Linked DNA regions of Tamandua tetradactyla. The protein of the gene in region 3 purifies or fractionates together with the protein of the main gene of each other region. This does not show direct contact. Links are inferred from orthologs where the notes say so. Each region holds a gene or a part of one and is shown on either strand. Other genes may lie near its edges. The genes, in order: SPRTN, POLD1 and POLD3.

Region 1 (10,629 bases), on a different chromosome or scaffold from region 3:
GGTACTACCAATTTTCTATTTTTAATTAAATCCCACGAGTTATCTCAAGAAATAAATACAAAGTATCATTAAGTATGTCTTAATATACCGTTATATTGGCTCCTGTCAGGCGGTTGATGCGATGCATATGTTTACAAAACTCTGGACCATGCCCTTCCCGGTCCTTATCATTATTAGTGACAAATAAGTAAGCATGTATCATTTCATGCAAGAGGGTCTGAAACAGAAAACAAAAGAATTTGAAACGGCACTTTTAAAATAAAAATGTATATCTGCATTTTCTTATTCTACCTGGAGGTCTTAATTTTATCTGAATCACAGGCTCCTTTCAGAAACATAAAAGTCATGAACCATCTTGCCAGAAAAATTACATACACATACATTTACAAAACTTTGCAAATGATATCCAAAGCTCTGCAGAACACAGGTTAAGACTCTCTGTTCCAAAAAGGCCTTTTAAATTCTTAATCAAAATCCAGAATAAAAATCTGATGAACTCAACTACACAAAAACTTTAAAATTTCATATGGGGAAAAAAATCATAAGGAGAGTAAAAAAAACATATGTGTAACTGAGTCAGACTATTAATATCCTATTACATAAAGAGCTAAAGTCAAAAGGGAAATGACCAACAACCCAACTTTAAAATTGGCGAAGATCATGGATAGTTCACAGAAAAAGAAATATAAATGACACATAAATATCAAAAGATGTTCAAACTCATAAGAGAAATGCAAATTAATACTACTATAGGATACCATTTCTTGCTTATCAAGACTGATTAAAGCTACTAAAGTTTGACACTGTTAGTAATGCTATGGGAAAATAAACATTCCCATATATCACTGGTGGGAGTTCAAAATGCTACAACCCCTAAAAAGAACTTGGTAACATCTGACAAAATTTAAAATTCATGCATACTTTGGCCCAGTGATACCTAAATTGATATGAAAGATCATTTGTACAAGGTGTATTCATTTTGGCATTATTCATAATGACAAAAGACTGGATATATTCTAAGCGTTTAGAAAGCGGGGACTGGCTGACTGTACTATGGAATATCCACATCACAGAATTCTGTGTAGGTATAAAAAAGAAAGAAAATGATGGCTATGAAAAAGGCAAAGAATGTTAAGAGCGTACATAACACATTTTGTGTAAGTGTGCAGTGTGGCAGAGACAGGGAAGAAGTGAATATAAATATTTGCAAAACAGAACAAGGAAAAAATATGAAACTAGTACCAACAGTTCCCTATAGTGGGTGGGAAGGTCAAATTGGGAGGACGACAAGAGAACAAGATTTCTGTGTATAACTTACTAGAGTTCTGAACCACATAAAATGAATCACGTAAAATTTTAAAATAAAAAAACTCATTATGCATACCACTTCTTAATGAAAATCACAAAAGTCTTCAAAAGTGTAGCATTTTTATAATCCTCTTTTATTAAACAAAGAAGTTTCATCAGAAGAACTAGGCTGGCATTAATTTAATTAAATTTTTAGTCTTATAAAATTATGCTGAACAGAAAAATAGGAGAATCAAAGATTTTAAGTTGGTCATCATAAAAATATCTCTTTTTAAGTTATCAGTTGTCTCTCTCAAAACGAACTTGATTTTTCAAGTCACTCTATCAAGACCCATTCTACATTTCAAAAGTTTCTCAACTTTTCATAATAATGTTAAACAACTATTTCTATACTTTGTGCTGCTAGTTCAGTTAAGTGTCCTGGGATGACAACACTGTGGCAGTTGAATAAAATGTGCATGTCAAAGCAGGAAAACTTTGTTCCTAAGCTTTTTTTCCCTTGTGCTTCTAATTATGTAACTTAATCACTTAATTCTCTGAACTTTAATTTCCTCATTTATAAAAATGAGGATAACATACACTGAACATCAAAAGGATTGCTGTAAAGATCAAGTGGGATAATATATCTGAAAGCCTTTTATAGCTCTGAAGCACTATACAAAATATAAGGCAACTACTATTATTATTTAACCCACAGATAAAAATATAAAGGGAAGGGTGGGCCATGGTGGCTCAGCAGGCAGAGTTCTTGCCTGCCATGTCAGAGACCCAGGTTCGATTCCCAGTGACTGCCCATGCAAAAAAAAAAAAAAGAAAGAAAAAGTAAAGGGAGAAGTGATTTTTTAAAAATGCACAGTACTCTAAATCACTGTAAGCATATCTAAATTACTGAGCTAAAAATTGTATGGATGCAAAGATTACCTCTACAAGATCCTTTCGGGGTCTCAATTTTAAAAGGGGTTCACTGAGACGAATGGAACACATTCCACCTCTCCCTTCATAGCTGCATACCCCAGCACACCTGGAAAACAACCACAAAAATTTGTTACATCACTAAATGCACACCAAAAGGGAAACAGATGAAAGAGCAAATCCTTATACATTCCTGGGCAGCTCACACTAAGAAAATTCTACTGGCAGATGTCTTTCTTGAAAGTATACTCTCTTTGTTATGAGATATTTACACGTCACCCCAGCTAGGGAGATAAGTCAACAGAAATGGCTTCCCTACCCTAGCCAGGCTACAACTGGTCAAAGAAGATAATCCTGTTCATCTACTCCCAGTCTACTCCCTACAAGTTGTAATCAGCCGCTGGTGGTATTAGGCACACACCTACTCCAGTAGCACATCTCCAAAATTATAGTAGGTTATATGAAGGAGAGTTGTACTTTAAGCACAACTTGATATCATATCCTATCTGTAGGTTATGTTTGTTAACAATTCAAAAACATGCATGCTGATATGCAAACTGCATCATACACTTGTTAACCCCTTTCATGCGCAGGAATAGATGATTCTTTCAAATGTGGATTTCTCAATTCTTAAGTGCAGAAAGAAATCCTTTTATGGGCGCCACTGAAGATCCCCTGGGTCCAGATAAAGACAAATGTCAACTCCTTCTTCATTCTAACACATGCCATCACTACTTAGCGAAGGTATCTTACTGAGTAGAGAAGAGGATAACCCACAACACACACCCTTTGGAGGCTTCTGTGCTTCCTCAGCACTTTTAACTAGGGTCAGACTTTGGTTGTTCCCTCCTCCTAGATCCTAAAGCGCTACCATAAGACAAATCAGAAATATGTTCATTTATTATCAAGCGAAGTGAGTTTCAAAAAAAAAGTTCTTTTCTCTTATTTCCCTTATTGTGAGCCGTAACACAGCGTTGTTTGAGCGAGAGACTGGGCAAGAAAGGGACAAATACACTAAGGAGCTACTTGGTCCAGAACCAGACCCCCTCGATTAACGTGCCCCGAGACCATCAAGGCTGAGAAAGCAGAGTCCCAAGGCCCGAAGCAGCAGACCTCCGAGACCCGCCCACCCAGGGGCTCCTGACTCACAGGGTCATGCGCATGCTCCACTTCACCTCCACGGCCTCCAGTTGGCCCCAGAAGAAACGATCGTTGAACTGAACAAACAGGGCCTGCAAATCTGGGGTGGGGTCCACCAGCTCCCACGACGCGTCCACCAACGACAGGGGCTCCTGGGCCTTATCGCGCCCTGCGGTCTGCAAGTCCCATTCCTCCTGCAGCTGTAGCGCCAACACTAAGTCCTCGTCCATCGCTGCCCGGAACTCAAAGCACAAACCCGGGGGAAGCTGCTCCCAGACTCGGCGGCGAGTCACAAATGCTCGCAGGGCCCTAGTCGAACTCCTAGGAGATAGCGGCTCCCAGGCTGCTCTCGTGTTATCCCGCCACAATCGCGAGAATTCGGGGAAAACTGGCTTTAGAACGAGAACGAGAGTTAAGCTGGGACCAAACGTCGTAGCCAAGATTTGGGGGTTTTTTAAAAAAAACAACTAGCATGACACCTCCTACTTGGCGCAAAACTTGGATTTTCAGGGTTCGGCCCAGAGAAAGGTTTCAGGAAGCTGGTTTTGCCTTTCCAGTCCCCGGACTTGCCTCTAACTTCGAACATCTCACGTCACACAGACCTCCGCGCAGTACCTATATCCCTCCGCCTCCGCCCTCCACTCACTTCCGCAACAGCTGACTCGGCGCAGGCACCTCAACAGCTGGCTTTTCTGCGCAGGCGCACTGTCTGTGTGCCGCCACCACCACCCCCCCTTGCGCAGGCGCATTGTTTGGAGCTCAAACCCGGGCGCAGGCGCACACGTCTCGTTTCCGCCCGGCTTACGCAGCCCCGGGCCTCTGTCCGGATTGGGTGGGTCTTGATTGTGGTGTCGGCGGTGATAGTGACAGTGACTGCTTGAGACCCGAACGGAAATGGCCATGGCGATGTCGGACAGTGGGGCAAGCCGTTTGCGGCGGCAGCTGGAGTCAGGTGGCTTTGAGGCGAGTCTGTACGTGAAGCAACTCTCGCAGCAGTCGGACGGGGACCGGGACCTGCAGGAGCACCGGCAGCGCATCCAGGCGCTGGCAGAGGAGACGGCGCAGAACCTAAAGCGCAACGTATACCAGAACTACCGGCAATTCATCGAGACGGCCCGCGAGATCTCCTACTTGGAGAGCGAGATGTATCAACTTAGTCATCTGCTTACCGAGCAGAAGAGCAGCCTGGAGAGCATCCCGCTTACCCTGCTTCCCGCCGCCGCCGCCGCCGCGGTCGCTGGGGCCGCCTCGGCCTCCGGAGGGGAGGAGGGAGCAGGGGGGCCGGGCAGCCGAGACCACCTCCGAGGCCAGGCTGGCTTTTTTCCCACCCCGGGAGGCGCCTCCCGGGACGGTTCAAGTTTGGGTGAGGAAGGGAAGCAGCGCACGCTCACCACCCTGCTTGAGAAGGTGGAAGGCTGCCGGCACCTGCTGGAGACACCGGGCCAATACCTGGTGTACAACGGAGATCTGGTGGAATACGAGGCGGACCACATGGCCCAGCTGCAGCGAGTGCATGGCTTTCTCATGAACGACTGTTTGCTGGTGGCCACCTGGCTGCCGCAGCGGCGGGGAATGTATCGCTACAACGCTCTCTATCCCCTAGATGGCCTGGCTGTGGTCAATGTCAAGGATAACCCACCCATGAAGGACATGTTCAAGTTGCTCATGTTCCCCGAGAGCCGTATCTTTCAGGCGGAAAATGCTAAAATCAAGCGGGAGTGGCTGGAAGTGCTGGAGGAAACCAAGAGGGCCCTCAGTGAGAAAAGACGTAGGGAGCAAGAGGAGGCAGCGGCCCCTCGAGGGCCACCCCAAGTGACTTCCAAGGCCAGCAACCCATTTGAGGAGGATGAAGAAGAAGAACTAACTGTTCCGGAGGTAGAGGAAGAGAGGGTGGACCTCTCAGTGGAATGGATCCAGGAGTTACCTGAAGACCTGGATGTCTGTATTGCCCAGAGGGACTTCGAAGGGGCCGTTGATCTGCTGGATAAATTGAACCACTACCTGGAAGATAAGCCCAGTCCCCCGCCTGTAAAAGAACTAAGGGCCAAAGTGGATGAGCGCGTTCGTCAGCTCACGGAGGTATTAGTTTTTGAACTCTCTCCCGATCGTTCCCTGAGAGGTGGTCCCAAGGCTACTCGTAGGGCAGTTTCTCAACTAATCCGGCTTGGCCAGTGCACCAAGGCTTGTGAACTGTTTTTGAGAAACAGGGCAGCAGCTGTACATACTGCCATACGTCAGCTGCGCATCGAAGGTGCCACTTTACTCTATATTCATAAGCTATGCCATGTCTTCTTTAACAGCCTTCTTGAGACTGCAAGGGAGTTTGAGACAGATTTTGCAGGCACTGACAGTGGCTGCTGCTCCGCCTTTGTGGTCTGGGCACGGTCAGCCATGGGCATGTTTGTGGATGCTTTTAGCAAGCAAGTGTTTGATAGCAAAGAGAGCCTCTCAACAGCAGCTGAGTGTGTAAAGGTGGCTAAGGATCAGTGTCAGCTACTGGGTGATAAGGGACTAGACCTGACCTTCATCATCCATGCCCTTCTCGTGAAAGATATTCAAGGGGCCTTGCACAGTTACAAAGAAATCATAATCGAAGCCACTAAACATCGCAACTCTGAAGAGATGTGGAGGAGAATGAACTTGATGACTCCAGAGGCCCTGGGTAAACTCAAAGAAGAGATGAAAAGTTGTGGGGTAAGTAATTTTGAGCAGTACACTGGGGATGACTGTTGGGTGAACCTAAGTTACACCGTGGTTGCTTTCACCAAACAGACCATGGGTTTTCTGGAAGAGGCGCTGAAGCTGTACTTCCCAGAGCTGCACATGGTCCTTTTGGAGAGTCTGGTGGAAATTATTTTGGTTGCCGTCCAGCATGTGGATTATAGTCTTCGGTGTGAGCAGGATCCAGAGAAGAAGGCCTTTATCAGGCAGAATGCATCCTTCCTGTATGAAACTGTCCTCCCTGTAGTGGAGAAAAGGTTTGAAGAAGGTGTGGGGAAACCAGCCAAGCAACTCCAAGACCTGAGGAATGCATCCAGACTCATCCGTGTGAATCCCGAAAGTACAACATCAGTAGTCTGATGCTTGGATCTGTTTATACATATGTATATAACTTACTTGTGTATTATTTATATTTATATTACGTTACATTAGCATATCTTTATTGGCCTCAACATAGCTTAAAAATTGATGTTCTCTCAGAAATACCAAATCAAAAGAAAAAAAGAAGTTAAGCAAAAATAACAAAAACAATGGAATTATTAAAACATAAAATATTCTTTCCTTTTAAAATATGCTAATTCTCTATGGCCACACTATAGTATTTCACGTTATCCTTTGAATCAACATACACTTTCTCACAGTATATGTTATGTAACACAGAGAAATAATATCTGTAAATACATAGAGTTTAAAGTATATTGTGAAAAGTTTCCCACTTCACTAAAATGTTAGGTTTCTTGAAGTACTTACGGGGTACAATGCCATATAAAACACCCTGCCTCATGTACTTCCCCACCTTAGTATATGAATGAACAAGTTGGGGGAAAACAGGAGTTGGAAGAAGTGATGTTAGGGTAAATTATAGTCAAAAAAATTCTTTCCTGAAACTGGTTAGTGTATGGACTTAGATCCTCCAGTCTCACAGAATAAAAGAGGAAGCCTTCATGAGACAGTTCAGCTTACACTTCCAGTATAATTTGAATGATTATTTTCAGCTGCTAATTAGCAGCTTCACACTACTTGATTTGAGAGCATTAGTTACCTGAGAATCTTAAGAACGGTGAAAAGGTAATTTTTTTCAGTGTATTCCAGAATTGTGTGAATTTCCAACTCGAGTTTTCATTTTTGTTATGTTACAATAATAATAGTACTAATAAAATTCAAAGGACACACCGAGGAAACTGGCAGTAGTCAGTGCTTTTTAGCTGCCCCTATTTCACTGTGGGCTATGTAGTGCCACAGATTTCGTGCAAATAGGAGAAAATTTTCATTGAAACATTGGTTTAGATTTGGATAGAGGGAAATGGAAAAATATCATATGCAAATCACATAGTGTTCTCTTGGACTACTTTGAGCAGAGACTTGTTTTTGTTTTTGTAACAAAGTAAAAAACTGAGGTGAGACAATGTACTCAAAGCTAAGGGAGAAAGAGAACTTTTTATGACTCCTACTGAAATACTGCATGCCACCTTGTTATTTTCCTTGCTTTGTTTTTAAAAGTGAATATAATCTTTGTTATTTCAGATATTTTAGTAAAACTAAAATAACTGAAGAAATTTGGACTTCCCAGGGTTTCTAAACCATTGCTTCTGCTGCTTATTGATTATGTAACATTCCTCCTACTTTCAGAGTTATTGTTCTTCTGAGATCCATTTCTCCTCCTCACTTCTAGTTGTGATTCTTGTCTATAAGTGCCATTTTTGATGCCAAAAATGGACTTGAAAAGATCATTTCTTTTATCAAGTAAAAATGGTAAGACTGGAAATTATTTAAAACCTAAAATAGATTCTAAATAGTGGATAGGGTTATAAAATGCCTTCACTTAATTGCTCATATGCCAGATCAGCCTTTTATTTTATTTTGTTTTTAGCAATGCATATTTAAAAGTATGAAAATCATCAAAGTTACAGATTTTATTTGACCAATTTCTCCTACACCTTTAAGATTTTCTAGATAATAAGCATAACTGGAGATGTCAGTTGAACAAAGTTATAATTTCGTTTTTAAGATCACTGGAAATTTAAATTTGATAAAATTTTGTGATTAGGATGATTTTGTGCCATTTAAGGTCTGTACAATTATATTGTATGAAAAACATATGTGTAAAATTTTATGCTGGTCCAGAACATAATGCTTCTCAAATGGAAACTTATCCTAAGGCATGATGTTGTAAAAACTTAAATGTGTATACTTGGGTAATTAAGTATTTGCTTCATCGCGAAGCTGTCTGCTTTTTAAAACTGGAAGTTCAGAATTTTCTTCTGTTAAATTTGTTTCTTAATCAGAGTTGTAGCTGAAGGAAATTTTTTTTTTTTTGGTGAATCGTTTAGTGTGGGACATTGATTAAAAATCAACAATATTATAATGTACCTTTGTGCCAAGACAGAGCAATTAAGTTGCTTTTCTCAAAGTGAAGTCAGAGCTTGTCTCTCTGATTCTTTTGTTTCTTTCAACTCTAAAACAACTTCTAAAAATTGAATGCAGTTATAGTTTTTCCAAAAATATAGTACATATTAAGAGATTGCCATTTCTTGTTTGCTTCAATCATAACATTATCACTTAAGCTTGAAATCACAGACTTAATTGGTTTGGTTGCTATTGAAAGTAGACACCCTGTGCAATTAAGTCTCTTTGATTAAAGCCTCATTTCATTTAAGTGCTGAAACCTCACTTACGTTGTTTAAAATACTACCTGTAGTTTAATTGTCGGCCCTAGTATTTTGCACCTCAGTATGTTACCTAGGATTGGGAATTTAGGGCTTAATATGTAATATAAAATCAATATACATGTGCATTTTGCTTACTGATATGATGTGATATGAGGGACTTTTGAAATGTTTATCAAAATAAAGCCTGAAAATTTTCTTACACTGAATAAAATTGCTTGATATTACAATGTATAGCTAATTCTCTGAAATCTTTGATTACAACTTAATATTCTTATCCTCATGCTAATTTCATTACTGAAATATTCTTTGGAGAGCCAAGGTTAGTGGGTTTTTATTGGTATGGGGGAGTAGATAGAAAGCTGTTAGCTAATGTAATTACATGTTCCACATACTGTCAGAATTGTAAATAAGTCAGATCTGAATTTTTTTAAGAGTCCCTTGAATGGGATATTTCCATATAATCTAAATTTGAATTTACCCTGAAAAAATGGGTTTTATATCACCCACGCGTACCAAAATGAAGAAAAGATAATATAGTTAGGAACTAAATGACAATATTCTGTTTTCTTACAGTAATATATATACTGAGGGAATTATCAAATAAAATTGATTAAAAGGTATTTATTGAATTCTTATGCCTAACACTGTCTGTATTGTGGGAGGGATAGTACAAAATAAATTTAGGCATGCTTTCTTCTCTCCAGTTGCTTAAACTGTGGGAAAACTCAGCAAATGTTGAAGTGCAAGCTGTGTGTTTCAGTACACTTTCCATACAGTGGAAATACTGAGAAGGAAGAGACCAGAGTAGGGTTTGGGAACGTTCTCATGGAAACGCTGGCACTTGAGCTGGCCATTGAAGAATGGACACGATTTAGATTCGCAAAGAAAAGGGAAGAGCACGACATGAGCAAAAACACAGAAGTGGGAATATGTGCGACATACTTGAAGAGATCTGCTGTAACGGATTGCAGAAAGCAGGTTGGACAGTTCTGTGAAATATATTGTATAGAGGTTATAAGCCCATTATGAAGGGTTTTGAAAATCAACTATCAGAATTCAGACTTGACATAGTACTGTCACAGAGCCATTGCAGATTTTTTTTTAATAAGTGGAAAAAATGTAAAAGTAACATATGCTTTCTAAGAAAGCTTCACGCTCTGCAAAAGTGGAAAATTGAAGTTCTCATCCTCACCCAAACTCCCTAACTGCTGCTGAGTTTCTCAATTTTTTTTTCCAGAAACTGGATCATACTATACATTTTGTTCTGCATCTTAATTTTTTTTTTACTTGATTCAATATTTTTAAAACATATCTTTGAGACTTATTCCTATGGCTGTACCTGTTTTCATGTGGTTGAATAATGTTCAATCTCATCGAATGGATGCATCATAATTTTGCATTTTTCGATTCGCCACCCCCACCCCACCCCCCAAAAAATAATTAGCAAGTTGTAACAATGATTTTGAACCATGCTTTTCCCCCACTTTCTTTGAAATACCGTTTTAGTAATATATCACATTCATATTAGATGTGTATCTGGTACATTTTTAGACTATTTTCTGTATCTATGCCAGTATGAAGTTGTTTTAAGTTATTGTAGATTTATAGTACAATTTAACAGTCGGTGGTGCTGGTCTTATTACTATGCTCTTTCAGAATTTCCTACATATTCTCAATGTTTTTATTCAAGCTCTATTTAATCATTTTATGGCATTCTTTACCACTCCTCAAAAGATTTTGGACCTGTATAGCAATCATAGTGCATTTATAGATTAACTTAGGGAGAAGTGACGTATTTATGATTTTTAATCTTCCTCTCATTTTTCCAAGTCTTTTTCAGCAGAATTTTAAAATTTACTTTAGGTGGATCTTTTTAAAA
Region 2 (9,950 bases), on a different chromosome or scaffold from region 3:
CCATGAGACCGAATGCATCACCTTCCTAAAGGACTTCACCTACAGCAAAGATGACTTCCACCGTGCAGGTGGGCTGTGGCCCGTGGAGGCTGACACATCCGCTTCTGCACCTCCTGAGGTGGGGGGTGGGGCAGGGGAGAGGGAGCCAACCTGGCAGTGGGGCTTCTGGACTCAGCCTCCACTGAGTGCCAGCTGTGTGCACAACAGACCCAGTAGAGCATGAGTCACAGGGTCTCTGTTCCCCCGTGGGGCATCTTGGTGGGAATTAAGAACCCTATCCCCACTCTCCACTGGGTCTCCGTCTCAGCGGAGGGAGGGCAGGCTGGGTGTCGGTCTGCAGTGAAGTGCACGACCCACGCAGTCCCTGCCCTCCGACAGTATTCCCCTAGGGTCTGTGATGTGGGCAGGTGGGCTCCCTGCAGGAGACGCAGTTACACTGAGGCCTGAGGAAGGAGAGGCATTGCGGAGGAAAAGGGGGTGGGGATAGGGTTGCTCGCTAAGGCACAGCAGGCACAAAGGCTTTGCTCCTTCTCTGGACTTTTCTGGCGAGTCCACCTTCTCTGCTGCCTCTGCCTGAGTCCCCTCTCTGTTTTCTCAAACATCCACTCCTAGACCCAACTCCTTTTATTCCTTAATCCCCCACCCTCCATACCACCCAAGATGGTCCCAGAAACCCTTTGAGTATGAGCCTGGCCTGGGCAGGGAGTCCTTAGGGTCTCCAGTGTTTACAGTGGTGGGGATGGGGTGGAGAAGGGGATCATGTGCATAGGTCCTGAGGTGGAGAAGAGCCAGATGTGTTTGAGCAACTGCAGGGAGACTGAGGCATCCAGGGCACAGGGAGAGAGGGCTGGAGAGGAGGCCAGGGACCCCACTGCTCCTCACTGCTTCTCTGCCACCTCCTGGTCCTGGCCTCAGTCACCTTTCCCTGAAACACTGCAGGTCCCTCCAGGGTCTCTTGGCCTCCACGCCAGCCTGATCTAGTCTGTTCTCCACAGTGTAGTCAGAAGGACCCTGTTAACGCCCAAGTCAGCTCACATCTCTCCTCTGCTTGGAATCCCCATCCCCACCCCAGATGGCTTCTTTCTCACTCAAAAGCCAAAGTCTACCCTGTGGCCTGTTAGGCCAAGTGTGATTCACCCTGATCCCTCCCTGCCTTCACCCCCTGCCCTTTCCTCACTCACTCAGCCCCAGCCACATGGGAGTCCTTGTTCTTATTTGAGCCCACTAAGTATGCTTCAGCTGCAGGCCTTTTGCACTGGCTATTCCCTCTGCTGTGAACTGGGGTGACCAACTTGTCCTTGTTTGTTCAGGACCTTCCTGGCTTTGATACTGAAAAGTCCTGCGACCCAGGAATCACTCCTGTTGTAGGCAGATCAGATGGTTGGTCACCCTACCTGGAACTCTTACATAGCCTTGCAACTTGCCCCCTCCCCTCTTTAGGTCTGTGCTCAGGTGGCACCCTACAGGAAGGCCTCTCAAGCCACCTTGACTAGAATTTAAAGGTGACCTCCATCTGTCCCAGATGCACTTCCCGACTTATTTTATCCCATAGACATTATCACCATCTCATGTGCTGACAATACATATGTGTGTTTATTATCTGTCCCCTCAACCCGCAGATGTTAAGTCCCATGTAGGTAGGGGCTTTGTCCTGTAAGCAGCTCTATCCTAGGGCCTGGCACATTTTAGGTGCTCAATAAAGTTTTTTTTCTTTATATATTTTTATTGAGAAATATCCATACACATACAGTGTAAACATTACACAATCAGTGGCTCACAGTATCATCACATAGTCAATAAAGTTTGATAAGCAAATGAGTCAGTGATGGGAATGAGTTTGGCTTTATTCCTACAGCAGTAGAACCCAGTGGAGGAAGTGACATATTCTGACCTGGGTTCAAGAGAATTTCCCTCTGACTGCCAGGAACCGGAGGAAGACAGATGCAGGGAAGCCAGGGAGGAGCCGCTGCTGCCCTGGCAAGGCACAAGGGCAGTGGAGGGATGGGAGAAGGCAGTGGGTGTGTCACTCCTGTTCCGTGTCCTTTCAGGAGAGGTACTGTACTTCCACCACGCACAGACACTCTTGTGAGCAGTGGGGACACAGAGGTGTCTTAGGTCACTGGGGCTGCGTAACAAAGGATTCAAACTAGGGGCCTAAAGATAAGTTATTTCTCAGTCCTGGCGGCCAGAAGTCGGGAAGTTGTAGGCGGTCCCTCCTTACTTCCTCCCGGCCCCTAGTGGTTTGCTGGGTGCTTGGCAGTCCTCGGGCTCCAGTCTCTGCCTCTGTCATCAAATGGCCTCCTTCCCTCTGTATCCAAGTGTTCTCTTCTTATAAGGACACCTGTCATTGGAGTAGGGCCCACTCAGCTCTAGTTTGGCCTCAACTAATCGCATCTTCAGAGACCCTATCGTCAAAGTCACGTTTGCAGTACAGGGGTTTAGGACTTGAGCATGTCTTTTTTGGGGACACAATTCAACCCACAGAACAGGAGAACAAAAATTACCACGTGGTAATTACTGGAGTTTTCCATCCCCCGTGATGGTGGGCAGTGTCAGGGACCAGGGTGTGGCCCACTTTCTGGGCGTGGAGGCGTGTGTCGGCTTCTGTTCCCGCCTGTTCTCACCCTCCGCCCACCGACAGGCCTGCAGGTGGAGTTCATCAACCCCATCTTCGAGTTCTCGCGGGCCATGCGGCGGCTGGGCCTGGACGACGCCGAGTACGCGCTCCTCATTGCCATCAACATCTTCTCCGCCGACCGGCCCAACGTGCAGGAGCCGAGCCGGGTGGAAGCGCTGCAGCAGCCCTACGTGGAGGCGCTGCTCTCCTACACGCGCATCAAGAGGCCGCAGGTAGGCCTGCCAGGGCCCGCCCACTGCCTCACGCCCCGCCCACCACGCCCAGGGCCACGTCCTGAGTCGAAGGCGATGTAGGAGGAGTCCTGGTCTAAGTGGGGTCATGCTGGCTAGGGTTCCTGCTTCCTCGTCAGCACATCCTCTGTCCCAGAACTGCACTCTGAGCTCGGGCCGCTGTCCGCTCCCGGGTCCCTTAGTGCAGATGCCCTGCTCTGCCCACCACTCCCCATGCCGGGGAGGCACACAGGCCAGCAGGGCCGTTCCCGCGCTCATCTGCTGCTTGTGCTGCCCCCCGCAGGACCAGCTGCGCTTTCCCCGCATGCTCATGAAACTGGTGAGCCTGCGCACCCTGAGCTCCGTGCACTCGGAGCAGGTCTTTGCTCTGCGGCTCCAGGACAAGAAGCTACCGCCTCTGCTGTCTGAGATCTGGGACGTCCACGAGTGAGGGGCCCAGCTGCCATCTGATGGAGGGTGGCTGTCACCCTTCTTTCTCCTGGGGTGGATGCCTGGCGTTGGGGCCCCACTTTGGCTTGGAGCCCAGGTGCCGGCCTTGCCGGCCCTCAGCCTTTGGGATGAACTCCGGTTGGTGCCCAAGCAGGCTCTGGGTCCCCCCCTCCCTGCCCGCCAAGTCTTCCTGGAGGGAGTGGATGTCTCACAGGCCCTGACCTCGGACCTCTCCCAGCGGCCTCCCCACCCAGCTCACGCCTCTGGCCCATGCGCAGTGCACCTTGAACAGAGGGAGGGGAGGTCCATGGCTCTCCCCCACAGTCTGAGAGACCATAGTCCCCTCTCCTTCTGCCCCTTTTATTTAATAAAAACTTAAAAAAACAAAAAATGGAAAAATAAAATATGAATATACAGTTGCTCTGATTTGGAGTGGGTCAGAATGGAGAAGGAATGCTGCAGGGTCTTCCCCAGCCCTCTGACCAGCGCACAGAACCGGGTGGGCTACCTCTTCCTACTACACGTAGTCTTGCAACTTGTCCTCTGGTGGCACGTAGGGGATCAGAGGCGACTCTGGTGCCAGGCTGGTGGGGTCAGACACAGACGCTGCAGCTCAGGTCAATGTGCACTGGGTGCCGAGGGAGTCCAGGAGGGTGCCCCATGGCCTTGGGGTCACTGTCCTGTACCAGGTGAATATCACTCTTTAAGGACACAGGACATACTGGATGAGGAGGGACCTTTTATCCACCTACGCATTTGCCGAGGCTTCCTGGGGGCAGGGCATTCTGGGGACAAAGACGTCCTTCAAACAACAAATGTCTTTGAGTATTTACTATTGCCATGTAGTTCTAGGCGCTGGGAACAGCGACCCTCTGGTGGCAACCAGCCAGGCCTGGCAGTGGGGAGAGGGGCGAGGACAGTGCGAGGGAGCCTTGGGGCAGCCAATACTGTGTGGGAGCCTAGAGGAGTCAGGGAGGCGAGGTCTTAGCTGGGACCCATTGGACCAGAACTCGGAAGCTGAGGGTCCATGTGGAGACACAGGCATGGCAGGGACTCTGGCGAGTTCAGAGTAAGGCCAAGTAATTGCATTTGCACAATTCTTCCCCCGTGCCAGCCCCGAGGGAACAGCTACAAGAGTTGCGTGGCCATCCCGACTGAGGGTGGGGAGGGCGTGGCTTGGGGGACCGACTGGGTACCGAAGGGCCCGTTGGGGGGCGGGAGGCGGCGGTGGACGGGAGAGTAGTCACGCCATCGCCTCGTGCTGGGCAGTGTGCTGGGCGCCCCGCATCTGCGCTGTCTAGTTCACAGATGGAGAAACTGAGGCCGTGAGGAAGAGGAGGCCTGCCCGGAACGGAGCTCGAATCTGCCAGACTCTAAGAGCAAGCAGATAGCAAAAGCAGCTACTCCCGGCGCGGTCCTGCCGGGCACTGAAGGACAGGCAGCGGAAGCTGGTGTGCGGGGGCGGGCACAGAATTGCTGCGCGCGCAGGCCTGCCAGGCCGTCAGCGCCGAGGGGCGTGGCCTTTTAACCAGCGGCATGCTGGGGGCATGGCTTTGAGGCGGCCAAGGCGGGAGAGGGCGGAGTTTGGTCAGAATATGAACGCGAGCTGGGGCAAGGGGCGTGGCCTGCCCCCTGGTTGGAAGACCGGGGCGTGGTCTAGAGGCCAAGTTGTGAGGCGGGGCGTGGCCTCATCCATGATGGGCTGGATGGGGCGTGGCCCGGCTCTGCGCGCGGCGGTTCTGCGCTTGCGTGCGCGGAGTCAAGGGTCACGGTGGGGCGGTGTCGGCTGTGGCGGGAAACGCTGTTTGAAGCGGAGGAGAACAGGTAGAGGGGGATTGGGGGATTCGGCCTGACAGAGAAGGGGGCCCGGGGGGCCGGGCATGGAGCGTGGGATGGGGTGGCGAGGGGTCTCGTGGAACGTGGCTGCGGGAGGGAATCCCCTGGCCCGGCGGAGCGCCGTGAACCGGGACTGGGACCTGTGGAGTCCCAGACGCGTGTGCCGGGACGCTCGGGCTGGGGAAGTGGGGGCGCCTTGGCATGCGGGGGCGCATGCGCAGGGTCCACTGGGCTTCCAGGCCTTGGGATACGCGCGCTGGAGGGCTTTCCGGGAGACGGAATCGAGAGGCGTTCGGGGGCAGAGCGGTGCGCGAGGGGACGTGGGTGTTCACGTCGTTGTTTATTCACTGGATATTCATTGAACGTCTACTCTGCTGCAGCATGAACAGAGAAGGCGGATGGTAGACAAATGATAGCGATAGTAATAGTGAGTGCTTCCAGGCTGTGTGTGATAAGTTATCTGAAGGGAAATGAAACTGGGAAATGCAGTCACCTGGAGTGGTGAGGAATCACCTGTCTGCGGGAGTGACAATTGAAAGGAGCGGCCAGGAGAGGTCTTGAAGAAGAGGGTTCCAAGTAGAGGGAACAGGTACAAAGAGTCTGGGTCTGGAAGGGGCTTGGCCTTTTTGGGAACAGGGGAGAAGTACAGGTGACGTTGGAGACGCCACGGGGAGCCAGATCAGGTAGGGTCTTTTGTGCCTCTGTAAGGAGTTTGGCTTTTCGTCTCTGATCCATGGAGAGCCACCGGAGGGTTTTGAGCTTTGAAGTAACATGATCTGCTTTATCTTTTGAAAAACTCACTGGCTGCTCAGTGGAGAGTAGATTGTAGCAGGAATAGGAGTGGATGGAGGGAGACCAGTTAGGAAGTGAGAGGGGATAATAGGTGGCTTGGCCTGAAGCGGAAGTGGGGAGAATCTGTCAAGCTTGGGGTGACTTTGCAGGTGTGGCAGCAGGGCTGGTTGATGGGCTGGATTGAGGGATGAGGAGAAAAGACCAGGATGACTCTTGGGCTTGTGGCTCAAACTGCAGGCTAGATGGGGAATGCTGAGGGAGAAGCAGATTTGGATGCATCATCCTGAAATCAGAGTTTAGAGGGGAGCACAGGAGGAGGTAGGGTGACGTCAGTACCTCAGCTTCCCCACTCCCTACAGTAGGACCCCAGGAACCTGTTGTTACCTGTCTCTCCCCTTCCCTTCCTGCACCTCCATCTGGGACCCACACCTCTCCTGTCCTTCCGAGAGGCTCAGTCCTGGCTGATTCAGGGCCTTATCCACCCCCTTTCCTCTTTGAGTGAGACCCCACCTTGAGCTTTAGGAGGCCTTCACAGTCTGAAACAGCCCCAGCCCAGAGTACACAGGTGCAGTAATAGAAGTGCAAGCTATGGTGGGATTCTGGAGAGGCACCTGGTCAGCCTACAGGAGTCCAGCTCTACTGTGTTTCCAAGAACACAATGGGCGTCAATGGCCAAGAGAAAGGGGACAGGGCCCTGTGCTGGATGATGCTGGGGACCCAGAGAAAAGTCAGACCCTGCCCTGGTCTGGTGGGGTAGGCAGACATGGGCCCAGACAGTCCCAATCCAGTGATAAGGGCAGCGACAGAGAGGCTCAGGAGAAGGACAAGACCAAAGCATGAAAAAAAGAGTGTTGTGTTTTTTGGGGGGGAGGGGGTGAGGGGTAGTCAAGAGTGAATTTACTTAATTATTTAATGGTTTACTCCTTCACTCAGCAGATCCGGAGTACAACAACAGACAAGCAGACAAATCCGTCTTCAAAGTCTTTCTCCCCTGTTGAGCTGTGGGTCCAGAGGGTGGTTCTTGAGTTTCTTACCTTGTATCTCCTCAGCACAGGCCTGGTGTGCAGAGAGGTTGGCACCTGAGTGATGGTTTGCAGTGGGTTCTTGGAAACCTGGCTCCATCTCCTTGAGCTGGCTGTGTGACCTTGGGCAGACTGCTTTACCTCTCTGGACCCCAAATCCAACTATTACCTACCTCAGAGGGGTTTGTTTTTAACTCACAGCTTTATTGAGATACAATTCCCATTCCATACAGCTCACCAGTTACAGTATATAAGTCAGTGGTTTTAATATATTCACAGATATGTGGAACCATCATCACAGTCAATTTTAGAATATCTTCATCACCTCAGCGCAGAGAAAAGGTTAGAAACCATGCCTGACCCTGCTGAGGACTCGGTGTTGTCTCACCGTCCCCGGTACAATGAAGTGTCTGCTGCTGAAGGAGTGTGGACGGCAGAGGGCACGAGCCCTTACTGAGCTCCTCCCCCAATCAGGCAGAGCGTGCCTCTTTCTTGATGCTGACCTGCCTCACACATGTACCGGGGCTCGGTCCTGGGATAGGGATGAAGCTCAAAAGCCTGGATTTGGCTCTGGGTGATGCCTTCCCCTCACAACCCCCCATGGGGCTGATTGATCCAGGCTGCCCAGGGACAGCCAGTCGGTCCCCTCCGGACTCCCGCTAAGCTAGGTTCTGGAACCGCTGAGGAACCACCCAGCAGCCCCAGTTACTTCCCCCAGATTGGAACTGCCTAGGTCTGTCTGGCTACTGCCGTGCCTTTTTTCTTCCTGGGAAATAAGCACTGAAAGAGAGTCAGTTAAAAGGCTTCTTCCTCCACAAAAACTAATGCACAAATGTTCATGGCAGCATTATTCATAAGAGCCAAAAGGCAGAGACAACCCAAATATCTTTTGATGAACAAATGGGTAAACAATGTGGCATATCCATGCAGTGAATATTATTCAGCCACAAAAGGAACAAGGCACTGATGTGTGCTGCAACATGGAAGTTTGAAAACATGCTGCTGAAAGAGGCCAGATGTTTCACGTATTGTGTGTGTGATTCCATTCACATGAAATGTGCAGACTAGGCCCACCCATAGAGGCAGAAAGTAAATTAGTGGTTGGTGGGGGCTGGGAGTGGGACGAATGGGGGATGATGGCGAAAGAGCATGGGTTTCTTTTCAGGAAAATGAAAATGTTCTAAAATTGATTGTGGTGACAATTACACAACTCTGAATATACTAAGAACCATTGAAATATACACTTGAAATGGGTGCCTTGTATAATAGGCTATGTACTTCTCAGTAATACTGTTAAGCCTCCTTCCCTCCCCACTTCCTCAGAGCATTGGTGTTACTAGCTTCTAACTTACCCTTCCAGAAATATTTGACGCATGAAAAACAAATATGTTTATACGTATCCTTCCACCCACCTTGTAAAAATGCTATTTTTTTCACTTTTTTTTGTATAGTATAACATATATAAAGCAAAGAAATTAAAAAGCAATAGTTTTCAAAGCACTCCTCAACAAGCAGTCACAGGGCAGACCCCAGAGTTTGTCATGGGCCACCACATGATCCTCTCATATTTTTCCTTCTAGCTGCTCCAGCATATAGGAGGCTAGAGGGCTTAAATACTTTTTCATCATCACAATCGACTTTCTTTCCTTCTTTCTTTGTGAAAAATAACATATATACAAAAAAGCTATAAATTTCAAAGCACAGCACCACAATTAGTTGTACAATGTATTTCAGACTTTGACATGGGTTACAATTTCACAGCTCTAGGTTTCCATTCCTAGCTGCTCTAAAATACGGGAGACTAAAAGAGACGTCAATCCAATGATTCAGCATTCATATGAATTTGTTAAGTCTTATCCTCTATGTATAATTCCACCATCACCCTTGATCTTTCCATATCTCTCCTTAGGGTTGTTTGGACTATGGCAGTTCTAAATTTCTGACATTGGAAGGGTCTGTCACAAACATGGGGTAGGGAGATGGAATCGTCTGATGTTCTGGAGAGGCTGGGCTAGGTTTCAGGATTTATCTGGACCAGGGACCTATCTAGAGGTTGTAGGTTTCTGGAAAGTTACTCTAGTGTTCTAGAGTATCCTTGTGGAATCTTATATATTGCTCTAGGTGTTCTTTAGGATTGGCTGGAATGGTCCTGGTTGGGAGTTGGCAGGTTATGATAGTAGCAAGGTCTACCTGAAGCTTGCATAAGAGCAACTTCCAGAATAGCCTCTCAACTCTATTTGAAATCACTCTGCCATTGATACTTTATTAATTACAGTTCTTTTCTCCCTTTTGGTCAGGATGGAATAATTGATCCCATGGTGCCAGGTCTGGATTCATCCCTGGGAATCCTCTCCCATGTCTCCAGGGAGACTTTCACCCCTGGATGTCATGTTCTACGTAGCGGGAAGGGCAATGATTTTACTTGCGGAGTTGGGCTTACAGAGACTGAGGCCATATCTGAACAGCAAGAGAGGTCCTCCAGAAGTAACTCTTAGGCATGCTTATAGGTATCTAAGTTTCTCTCCTACCTGCATAAGCTTCACAAGAGTAAGCCTCATGATCGAGGGCATGGCCTATTGATTTGGATATCCCTAAAGTTTGACACAATATCAGGGGATTCCCTGATGGTAAGGTTTAATAGTTCCATATTCTTTCTCCCCCCACTCAGGGAACTTTGCCAATATTCTTTGATTATCTGGTTAATATACAGTAGGATGTATCCAGGCACCACATCCATCCACACAGGACCAAAGACCCCCTCTCATTCTGTGTTTCAGTTGTTTAAATGTGCTATGCAGATAGGTTGAAATAGATTATGCACTACGAAAGATTTCAGTTCCAGATCAAATAAACCTTTCTTCCATTGGGCTCAAAGAGTATATGTGGTTCTAAAATAGAGGCAGTGTCTTCCTTACCTCTGTGTTCTGAATTACTTTAACCTCAACCGTTCGGCTTCATTCTTATCTGTAAATATGAAGTTAAATATATAAAACAGCCTCTCAG
Region 3 (10,116 bases):
ACCAATTAAAATTCAAAATACTTACTTTTTAGAACTAGAAAAACCAATAACCAAACTTATCTGGAAGAGCATGGTGCCCCGAATAGCTAGAAGTATCCTGAGAAAGAAAAATGAAGTCGGAGGTCTCGCGCTACCTGACTTTAAAGCATATTATGAAGCTACAGTGGTCAAAACAGCATGGTACTGGCATAAAGATAGATATACTAACCAATGGAATAGAATAGAGTGTTCAGATATGGACCCTCTCATCTATGGACAATTGATCTTTGCTGTACTCATACGGTCTGCCATGTATGCCAGTATAATGAAATAGCCCTTGTTTTAAAAGCCAGCTGAAGACTCCACTAATGAGATTTGATAAATAAACATCTACCAGGATTATAGTTTATTTGCTCTCCGTCTTTGCACCCTATTGCCAACGTATTACTTTCCAAGGAAGATTATCTACTACAAAACTCCATTGTCAGAAGACAGGTATTTGTTACTAATTTAAGCATTGTTTTTAAATGTTTTTTGGTGCTTTTGAACCTTTATCAAAAAAAAATCTATAAATACATGAATGAAAAATTCAAATTTAGAAGTATATGGAATAAAAATTATCTCCCTTTTCACATTAACTTCCTAAAGGTTCCCAGCATTTAATAATACATATTCTTTCATGCCTTTTTCTGTGCACTTAAACATAAATGTGAATATGTAAAGGGTTTGTTAGTTTTGTACATAAACGGGATTATACTAAAACAGTGCCTATTTTTAAGGATAGGTTAAATTTGCAGATGATTGTTTCAAATATATTGAATAAAATAACTTTTTATTTAAAAAAAAATCACAATGAGATACCACTTCATACCCATTAGGATGGCTAAATTCAAAAAGACAGATTAAAAAAATTGGTAAGGATATGGACAAACAAACCCTCATACATTGCTGGTGGAAATGTAAAATAGTGCAGCCACTTTGGAAAACAGTGTGGCAGTTCCTCAAGAGCGATATACCCAGAACTGAAAACATACGTCCACACAAAAACTTATAAACGAATGTTCACAGCATCATTATTATTCACAATAGCCAAAAAGCAGAAACACCCAAATATCCATCAGTTGATGAAAATAAAATGTGGTATACACATAAAATGGAATATTAGTCAGCCATAAAAAGGAATGAAATACTTATACATGCTACAACATGGATGAACCTTGCAAACTATAGGCTAAGTGAAAGAAGGCTGACACACACACACACACAAAGCACATATTATATGATTCCTCTTATATGAAATGCCCAGAATAAGCAAACCTATAGAGACAGAAAGTAGATATGGTTACCTAAGACAGTGGGGAAGGGGGACCACAGTGCTGAGGAAAACTATGGAGTGACTTCTAACAGGCACAGGTTCCTTTTGAGGATGATGAAAGTGTTCTAAAATTGATGGTGGTATTGGTTGTACAACTCTGAATATATTACAAAACTTTGATTTGTATACTTTAAATGGGTGAATTATATCCCAATTAAAAAAAAGAATTGAAAAAATGTGAGAGACAATCACAAGGTATTATGACAAAGTATTAGGGATGGGTGAGGATACTTAAAAGACAGCATTTCTCTAAGGTCTCTTAAAGAGTTACATGTGAAATCTGAACTGAGACCTGAAGAATGAGGACAGCTGGAAGAAGAACATTCCAGGCAGAGAGAACAGTGCAAAGGTCCTAAGGCTTGTTCCTTCCTGAAGAACAGAAAAGCAAATATGGGAAGAGAATAATAATTAAGGTAGGGAGTAGTATGGGATGATAGAAACTGGACAGTCTGTTAATGCTATAAAAATTATAGGAAATCAGGGTACTTATAGTAAAGTTGCAGGCTACTTTATTTCACTTTCCCAAAGTTACCTTTATCTCTTGGGTTTGAGCTAGAAATGGTCTTATCTCATATAGTTAAAACCAGTCCAAATTCATTCCTGGGCTAAGAGCTTCAGGTCTCAAAGGAGTAAACATCACAGCCAAAGTCAGACTCTTAGACCTGTCAAACAGCAACCCTTAAAGCCAAATCAAGCCATTTAGAGATCAGGGATTTTCTAAAACTTTTATGAGATACTCCTATGACTCAAAGTTTCTATCCTGAAGGAATGGTCAAAAATGAGGAATAAAACAAACCCTTGGGAATGAAACAAACTGAATGGTCATCTAACCCAACACAAGTGTCCTTGAGCTGTTCTCTAATTCCTCCCTTTGGGACAGTGATAATACTTGCACATTTTCAGTCAAAAAATTTTTAAGTCAATTCAAAAGCTGGCCTTTCATCACAAGTTTCAGCAAGAAAAAGGGACATGGCAAAAACCCAGGAGGAAAATGGTCTGAGCCATCCTATATACTGTCTCTCAGTTTCACTTAAATATTTCTTCTCTGTTACACAGCTTGTATCAAACACCTGTTGACCTCATTGTACAAGTGTTCCAGTATCTGGAAAGGAGACTAAGGACTTTCTGAAGATGTAATATAACAGACATACAAGTCTGAGATATAAATGTAATTGGCTAATTTAATAAATTTGAAGTACAGTGATGTCACCCAGAGGGTAAGGCTGCAAATAAATCCAGTAAATTTATCATCACATATTTGTACACCAGTCCACCTACCTCCTAAAATAGACAAGGCACTAAAGGTAGTACAAGGTAGTAAATAATACTCTTTACCATTGCCCAAGAAAAATTTTTTTTGTCCCAACCTAGCTATCTGTAAAGTTAAAAACAAAAAACTCAAGTGTGGTTAAAATTAGTAGTAAACTGGACTTACTGTTTGGCCTGGTTAACATGAACCCCTAGTGTATAGCTCAGCCATTTGTATGTCACCTGCAAGAAGAAGCAATTTTTAAAATATTAATGACTCAACAATGCAGATTAGTTCCAAAAGGCTGCTCCTAAAGATTCTATTATTATTATTATTATTATTATGTCTTATAAACTACAATAGATGTCACCCCAGTTTTGCCAAAAAGCACCCATCTGGACAAGCAGGATTAACATTTTTCTTACAAACACTAAAAAGTTCATGTCAAAGGCTGAATATATATGGAAAGAAAAAGCTCTCATTGACTCACATTTCTTGTTTTATCAAGGCCCTTTGTTCACATTCTGCCCCTGTCTGGGTCCACTACCCAAAACTATCCCAAAACTCACCCAGAAACAGTATTGTTTTGAAGTGCACAACTCAGAAACTTCCAAGGCAAGTTGCAGCCTTACAATCATTAAAGGGCACAGATGGTGCCAGGGTCAGGGAATGAATGAAAAAAGCAATGAATACTGTATCAAAGGTTAGCTGGGGAACTCTGGCATTAAGTCTTGGCGTTCCTTCTATTCTTTCTTGACCCAGTATGCCTGCCAGTCTCCTAAAGCCTAACAATTCTAAATGCTGAGCTTCCAATAATAGGTTAAGGCAAAGACAATGTGATGTAAAAGAAAGCATTAGTTGAAGTAAGAGACCGACCTAGGCTGTGTCTATCTAACCACAACTAACCAAGTTATTAGGCCCCTTTGTCTTAATTTCCTCTTCTAGGGATACTACCAGCAACCTCTGGGTGGGTCGCTGTAAAAATTAAATGCAAATAACGTGTATCCAAAGTGCCCTAGCTCACAGTAGACTCTCAAAAGCAACAGCTGGCATCAGGGTGCACTCACACCCATCGTCTCACTTGACTTCACACAATCCTGTGAGGCAAACCAAGCCTATATCAATACCTAGATTTTCAGGAAGAGAACCGTCAGGACGCTAAATAACTTGTCACTTAAACCAGTTAAGATGCAATTTTCTCAACTGTAAACCAGGGATTTTTTAAAGCCAAACAGCTTATGTGACTGGCGTTGGAACGACTTAAAAACATTCTGCGCCAAAACCCCTCCCACCACGCCGGACCTCCCTGGCTCCTGCCCTGTGCAGAGTCCACAGCACGCCTACCCAAGGGACACGGAAGCACGCGCGAACTAGAAGACCTCTCCGGAGGGCCCTCACCCGCCTAGGAGCAGAAGATGTGGGGAACTATCTTCCCTCGGCCAATTCCCACGACGCCACAAGCGGGGGTGGGGTCAAGGCCCCTGGCAGCCCTCGCCATACCCACAACCCCAGTCGCACGCCCACATTCCCCCGTCCTAGCTCCTCACGATCTTGTTCTGGTCCATAACGAACTCGTCTATATTTTCCAAATAAAGCTGGTCCGCCATGGTGCCGCAGCGCTGAAATCCGCGGCCTTTGAGCCGCCCTCGCCGCCACAGCCACAGCTCCCGCCGGCGGGAAATGTCTTTCCTCCCCCCTCCCTCCCAGGTCCGAGGTCGTTTCCCATGGCAACGGAGGCAACGCGCTACGGCGGCCGTCCGGGGGTCAAACTAGTCATGGCGCAGGCTCAAGTACAGTGCATAAAGCTAGTAGGGGAGGGCGGAAATGAGAAGCTGTAGGAAGGGCGTGCTGGGAAAGAGTTTGTCTCGAACCTTAGGTTCGAATTTCACCTCTGCTACTTAATGATTGAAGGTGGACAAAATACTTGAGCTACAGTCTCATCACCTGTAAATTGGTAAATAATCTTTGTTCTCCATACATTTATTTAATAAATATTTATTAAGTATCTTCCAGACACTTTTAGGCACTGGGGACACAGCATTGAGCAATAAAGACAGAAATAAGTAATTTGAGTACAAAGTGATGCCGGCTGGGAGAAAGTGCTGCCTGTTATGATCCGCCTGGATTGAGAAATTAGGTTAGGTTTTTCAGGGGAAATTTGTGTTTCAGAGAATGACCGGAACATTTGCTGGGAAGAGATAAGAGTTCGTGTAGGAGAAGAGAGTGCATTATACTGGAATGGAGGAAGAAGGGCCAATGAGGAGATATGAGCCATATCTTGCTGGGTCTCCAAGGCTGTGTGAAGGGGCCAATGAACCATATTCTGAGGGAAATTTGGAGAAGACTTCATGCAGAATTTCAACTGAAATTTTTCCTAATATCAGCCAGTAAAACCTTAAGAGTTGACGTTAGCATAAAGCAGTGAAGTTCAGTTCCACAACACAATGGATAGATGAGTTTAGACTGCCCAGATTGAAATCCTGGCTTTGCTGTTTGTTGTGTGACTTTAGGTAAATTGTTCAATCGCTATGGGTTTGTTTCCTCATCTATAAATTGGAGTTAATAGCAGTACCTACTTCGAAAGTTCATTGCAGCATACATTCATTAAAGACATTTAGCAAAAAATGTCTTAAGGATCAGGGACTGGGTCTGCAGTGGATACAGCTGTGATCAATAATACATGGAGGCTGTTCACATGTAGTTTATATTCTTGTAGAGATATTTAAATGAGCAAGGGGGTGGCTTAAACTAGGGTAGCAGTAGTAGGAATTGAAATAATTGGGTGACTTTTGTTTTAGGGGTAAACTCAGCAAGACCTGCTGATAAATTGGTGAGTGAGATTTCAAAAGAAGAGGAATCAGGAAAATGCTTAGATTTTTAACTTAACTCTTTAGGTAAATGGTGATGCCGTTTCCTTGACTGAGATTGGGAGAAAGAGTAGGTGAGAAAATCAAAGAATTCCATTTGGCCAGAGTTACAGGTGAGATACATAAACCCTGCTTACCATGCCTGTATACAATAAAATCAATAAAAGTTGGCTATATTATTATATACCAGGTACTCTTTACCAGGTGATTTGAGAGTGATATTTCATTTAATCTTCATAGTAACCTTGTAAATAGATTATACTTTCTGTATTTTATGGAGTAGATTGCTGAGACTCAGAGAGGAGGAGTGAATTTTTCAAGGTCACAGGCTAGCAAGCATGCTGGAATTGGAACTCAAGTCTCTCATCACTCAGAGGAGAAATAAGGCAAGATAGTTTATGCAAAATCAATTTTCTGTTGTTAATGGGAGGTATGAATAGGTTCCAAGACAAGGTTTACTTAAATAACCAAGCTGGGTTTTAGACCTGACTTCATTCTAATGTAATGGTAACAACCACCACCACACCAGCATGTGATAGGTGTTCAATAAATGTTTACTGACTTAAGTTCAATTACACTAAAAAACAGTGAGAATTAGTGGGGGGAGAACACTGGATTAGGAAACAAGGAGACTTAAGATAGTGTTTTATTTGTGTGGACAATTTAATGGAACACCATAAGTACATGGAACCTTGAGTAGGGCGTGAGATTTTTTAGGTTTGTGCAGAGTGATGCCCCAATAAATCCCAGAGTAATTTGAACAGTGAATAAAAAAAAGCATTTGTAAAGTCCCCCTGGGGGAATGGCAAGAAAAGGGGAAAATTCAACTTCCCCATGTGGAGAATTCCTGATATTCTCACAACCAGTGGGGACAACCAAAGCAATTGGCTGAGCCCTCAATCTTAGGGTTTGTTCACATGAAACTTATCCCCACAAAAGATAGGCTAAGCTTACTTAAAATTAGGCCTAAAAGTTACCCCCAGAGAACCTCTTTTGTTGCTCAGATGTAGCCTCTCTCTTTTTCTCAGCCAACACAACAATCAAACTCACTGCCCTCCCCCTCTCTACATGGGACATGAATCCCAAGGATATGGACCTTCCTGGCAATGTGAGACAGAAATCCTAGAATGAACTGGGACTCAGTATCAAGAAACTGAGAAAAATCTTCTCAACCAAAAGGGGGAAGAGAGAAATGAGACAAAATAAAGTGTCAATGGCTGAGATATTTCAAACAGAGTCAAGAGGTTAGCCTGGAAGTTATTCTTACCCATTATATAGATATCATTTTTCTAGTTGAAGTATAATGGAGAGGCTGGAGGGAACTGCCTGAAAATGTAGAGCTGTGTTTCAGTAGCCATGTTCCTTGAAGATGATTGTATAACGATACAGCTTTCACAATGTGACTGTGTGATTGTGAAAACCTTGTGTCTGATGCTCCTTTTATCTACCTTATGGACAGATGAGTAAAACGTATGGGTTAAAAAATAAATAATGGGGGAACAAATGTTAAAATAAAATTAGTAGTTTGAAATGCTGGTGATCAATGAAAGGGAGTGGTAAGGGGTTTAGAAGAAAAATAGGGTAAACAAAGGCTAAAATATATTGGGTAGATAAAAATACTAGCAGTCAATGAGAGGGAGGGGTAATCCCTCTGATCATTTTCTTTTTTTGTTTCTTTTTCTGAATTGATGCAAGTGTTCTAAGAAATGATCAGGATGATGAATATACAACTCTGTGATGATATTGTGAGTTATTGATTATATACCAAGACTGGAATGATCATATGGTAAGAATGTTCGTGTTTGTATGTTGTTATGGTTACAAATATATAAAAAATTGAAAAAATGATAGTGTTTTTTATTACTAATCTTTCACTGAGTTTATGAAATATGCAGGTACCATGCTAAGCCTTTTACTTAGATATCTTCATTTAATCTTCAAAGCAATTCTGTAAAGTACGTAATATTATGTAGGGGGTTGAATTATGTCCCCCACAAAAGGCATGTTCAGGTCCTAACCCCTAGTCCTGTGGGTGGAAACCCATTTGTAAGTAGGACCTTAGAAGATATTATTAGTTAAGGTGTGTGCAAACCAAATGACAGTGGACCTTAATCCAATATGGCTGAAGTCCTTATACGCAAAGGAAATTGGACTTAGAAGAGAAGACCACAGCTGGAAACTGGAAGTCAGTGGAAGCCAGAAGAGAAAGGAGAGGACATTCCACATGATGGGGATTGCCAGCCAGAGTACCACTGAACTTAGGAGGAAGCAAGCTTTCCAGCCTCTGAAACTGTGAGACAATAAATTCCCTTTGTTTATGCTACCTCATTATGTGAATTTTGTCATAGCAGCCTGGAAACTAAGACATATTATTATCCCTGTTTGGTAGATTAAGATACTGGAGCTCAGAGAGGTTAAGTAACTTGCCTCAAAGCATGTAGGTAGTAAGTGACAGAGATGTGTTTCCAGCCCAGGTGGTTGGACACCAAAGGCTATGCTCTAAACTCTGTGATTGTTTTTCGGTGATCAGATTTGGATAATTTTTATTCTCTTTATATTAGTTTTTTTCTTATATGTGTGTCAGTTTTTACAAGAGAATTTTGATTGCTATAATCAGAAAAATAAATGTTTTCATCCTGAAGAAAAAAGTCAGGCGTTTACCAAAGTAAAATTAAGCCGTCTTTTTATTCCAGGCATCTGTGAAGTTTTCTCTATATGAAATGAAAAAGGCAAACTTCCAAAAAAGGACTTACCTATAACTATAAATGCTTTTTCCTTAAAATAAAAATAAAAATATATCTCCCTTCCTGTTCATTAAGGATGAGGCTTGACATCAGTACCCAATGTTGACAAAAGCAGGTCTCCAGAAACCAGAACCATCAAGCAACCAGAGAATTAATTAACCACAGGACACAGTCAACACTTTTGGGGGCCAGCAGGTGTCAGGTGATACCAGCAGTGAGAACTGTATGGGATTAAGACTCTCCAGCCTCCAGGTCTCAAAAAAGAGCCTAAGGTTGATGTTACAAATAGAAGGTTGACCTTACTCTTTCTTTTTTTCCAACCCCACTTCATCCCAGAAATTACTGGTACCAGAGAGTCTAATGATTCTGACAGGTACAGTGTGGGAAATCTGGATGGGGCTCAATATTTGGTTGCGAGTGAGGAGGGGTTAACCTAAATGCAGGCAGGATTCCCAGTCTCAGTGTAGGGAAGGGGGCCTGTAAGGACAACCCAGGAACCCCACCAGCTAGCTGGACTTCAGATTGCCACTGGTCTCTGGGGGTTGGCATTCCAGGCAGAGTAATAGGTTAGAACCAAGGAAAACCAGATTAAAATTATGATTCAGGGGTCTCAAAACTATGTAAGAACTGTTCCACAGTTCCAAGGACCCAGGACTTAATGGCATCAAGGAATTTAGACATTTGATCCATCCTTCCTTCCTTTCTCCCTTTCTCTCTCCTTCCCTCCCTTCCTCCCACCCTCCCTTCAAGAAGCATTACCAAAGGGCTTCTGTATATCGGGCCCTATGTAACTAAGGGGAACACAAGATGGTTTTCATCTCTGGGAGTTTACAGTTCATGGAGGGTAAATAGCAAAATGGTGTGAGGGAAGCACAGGGTGCCATACGAACCTGAAGGGGGCACCTACTCCACCTGAGGATGGAAATATGAGGAAAACTCTGGACTTGAGTTATCCAGGGCTAGACGTTATGTAATCTCACCTTTCACCTTACACAAAATATGTAAGAAATAAAAACAGAGTGTTGCCATTGTTATGCTTTAAGCAACACAGCAAGCCTGTATTTTCCTTTTTTTTTTTTTTATACAAGCTGCTTTATGAGAACATCTGTATCTTGTGTTGACAGTCTTGTGGACTGTACAGCCTCCAAGGCCAGAATATATCAACTGTCCTGATATCTGGAGAGGCAGGAGTCCAAGGAAGGTGAGATAAAACTCTAGGTGCTTGTTATAAAACACTTTATCAATTTTATAAAAATCAATGTAAAATCCCTCAAAGTGAGTGAGCCAAGAGGACATTGAACTAGGGTGACCTATTCCAAACATACCACCATCCCACTCTGCCCCGAGAATACACACACACCCCATTTCAGCCCGTTGATCCCTCAGCTCAATCACCAGAGGTTCACACCCCTGCCTTTGCTGTCTTGGACATTCAGAAAAAGAGCAAGAGGACAATGCACAAATTCACACACACCAGTTTTGCAGTTGCTTTGTGTATTGTTTTCCTTTCTCCCTTCCCTTGGAGGCTGAAAGGGTGCTTTGGAGTGGTGATGGTAAAGTGAAAATAATTGGAAACTGGTTATGAGAATTTTTCTCTTAAGCACCTTACTCCTGGATCTTAAAAAGTGTGTTGTAGGGTTTGGGATGATGGGGTGGGTTGGAGGTAGCATTTAGAATAGAAAGAAGTGAATGATCCTCCTCTCAGAGAGCATTGTTCATGGGCTTCAAAACCCATTGTTCATGGATGAGGAAGACTTCTGGAAGAAACATCAGGTGGCTCAGCTTTAGTAGCAGATAAAGGAGAGGCAAGAGCCATTATAGATACAGTCTTGATGGATTGAGCAGCTCTATTTGCCTCATACTCATTCTCTCATCATCATCATCATCATCATCATTGTCTTC

The links.
Region 1: the proteins of POLD3 (region 3) and SPRTN purify together in Homo sapiens (affinity purification with mass spectrometry; 3 studies listed by BioGRID, with this or other methods). This does not show direct contact. The link is inferred for Tamandua tetradactyla from reciprocal best matches to the Homo sapiens genes POLD3 and SPRTN.
Region 2: the proteins of POLD3 (region 3) and POLD1 purify together in Homo sapiens (co-immunoprecipitation; 8 studies listed by BioGRID and IntAct, with this or other methods). This does not show direct contact. The link is inferred for Tamandua tetradactyla from reciprocal best matches to the Homo sapiens genes POLD3 and POLD1.

What each region holds. Positions count from the first base shown.
Region 1 is NC_135333.1:1,005,009-1,015,637, reverse strand, and holds the start of SPRTN (DNA-dependent metalloprotease SPRTN), read right to left. Parts: upstream 4,129-10,629; 5' UTR 4,007-4,128; exon of another isoform or gene 3,753-4,006; 5' UTR 3,591-3,752; coding exon 3,370-3,590; intron 2,330-3,369; coding exon 2,230-2,329; intron 218-2,229; coding exon 89-217; intron 1-88. Other genes in the region: EXOC8 (exocyst complex component 8), read left to right, coding at 4,255-6,441. UniProt on the Homo sapiens protein: DNA-dependent metalloendopeptidase that mediates the proteolytic cleavage of covalent DNA-protein cross-links (DPCs) during DNA synthesis, thereby playing a key role in maintaining genomic integrity.
Region 2 is NC_135342.1:10,822,414-10,832,363, reverse strand, and holds the start of POLD1 (DNA polymerase delta catalytic subunit), read left to right. Parts: upstream 1-5,054; 5' UTR 5,055-5,121; intron 5,122-9,950. Other genes in the region: NR1H2 (oxysterols receptor LXR-beta), read left to right, coding at 1-68, 2,642-2,850, 3,152-3,298. UniProt on the Homo sapiens protein: As the catalytic component of the trimeric (Pol-delta3 complex) and tetrameric DNA polymerase delta complexes (Pol-delta4 complex), plays a crucial role in high fidelity genome replication, including in lagging strand synthesis, and repair.
Region 3 is NC_135334.1:71,090,988-71,101,103, forward strand, and holds the start of POLD3 (DNA polymerase delta subunit 3), read right to left. Parts: upstream 4,338-10,116; 5' UTR 4,211-4,337; coding exon 4,151-4,210; intron 4,121-4,150; exon of another isoform or gene 3,948-4,120; intron 2,846-3,947; coding exon 2,790-2,845; intron 1-2,789. UniProt on the Homo sapiens protein: Accessory component of both the DNA polymerase delta complex and the DNA polymerase zeta complex.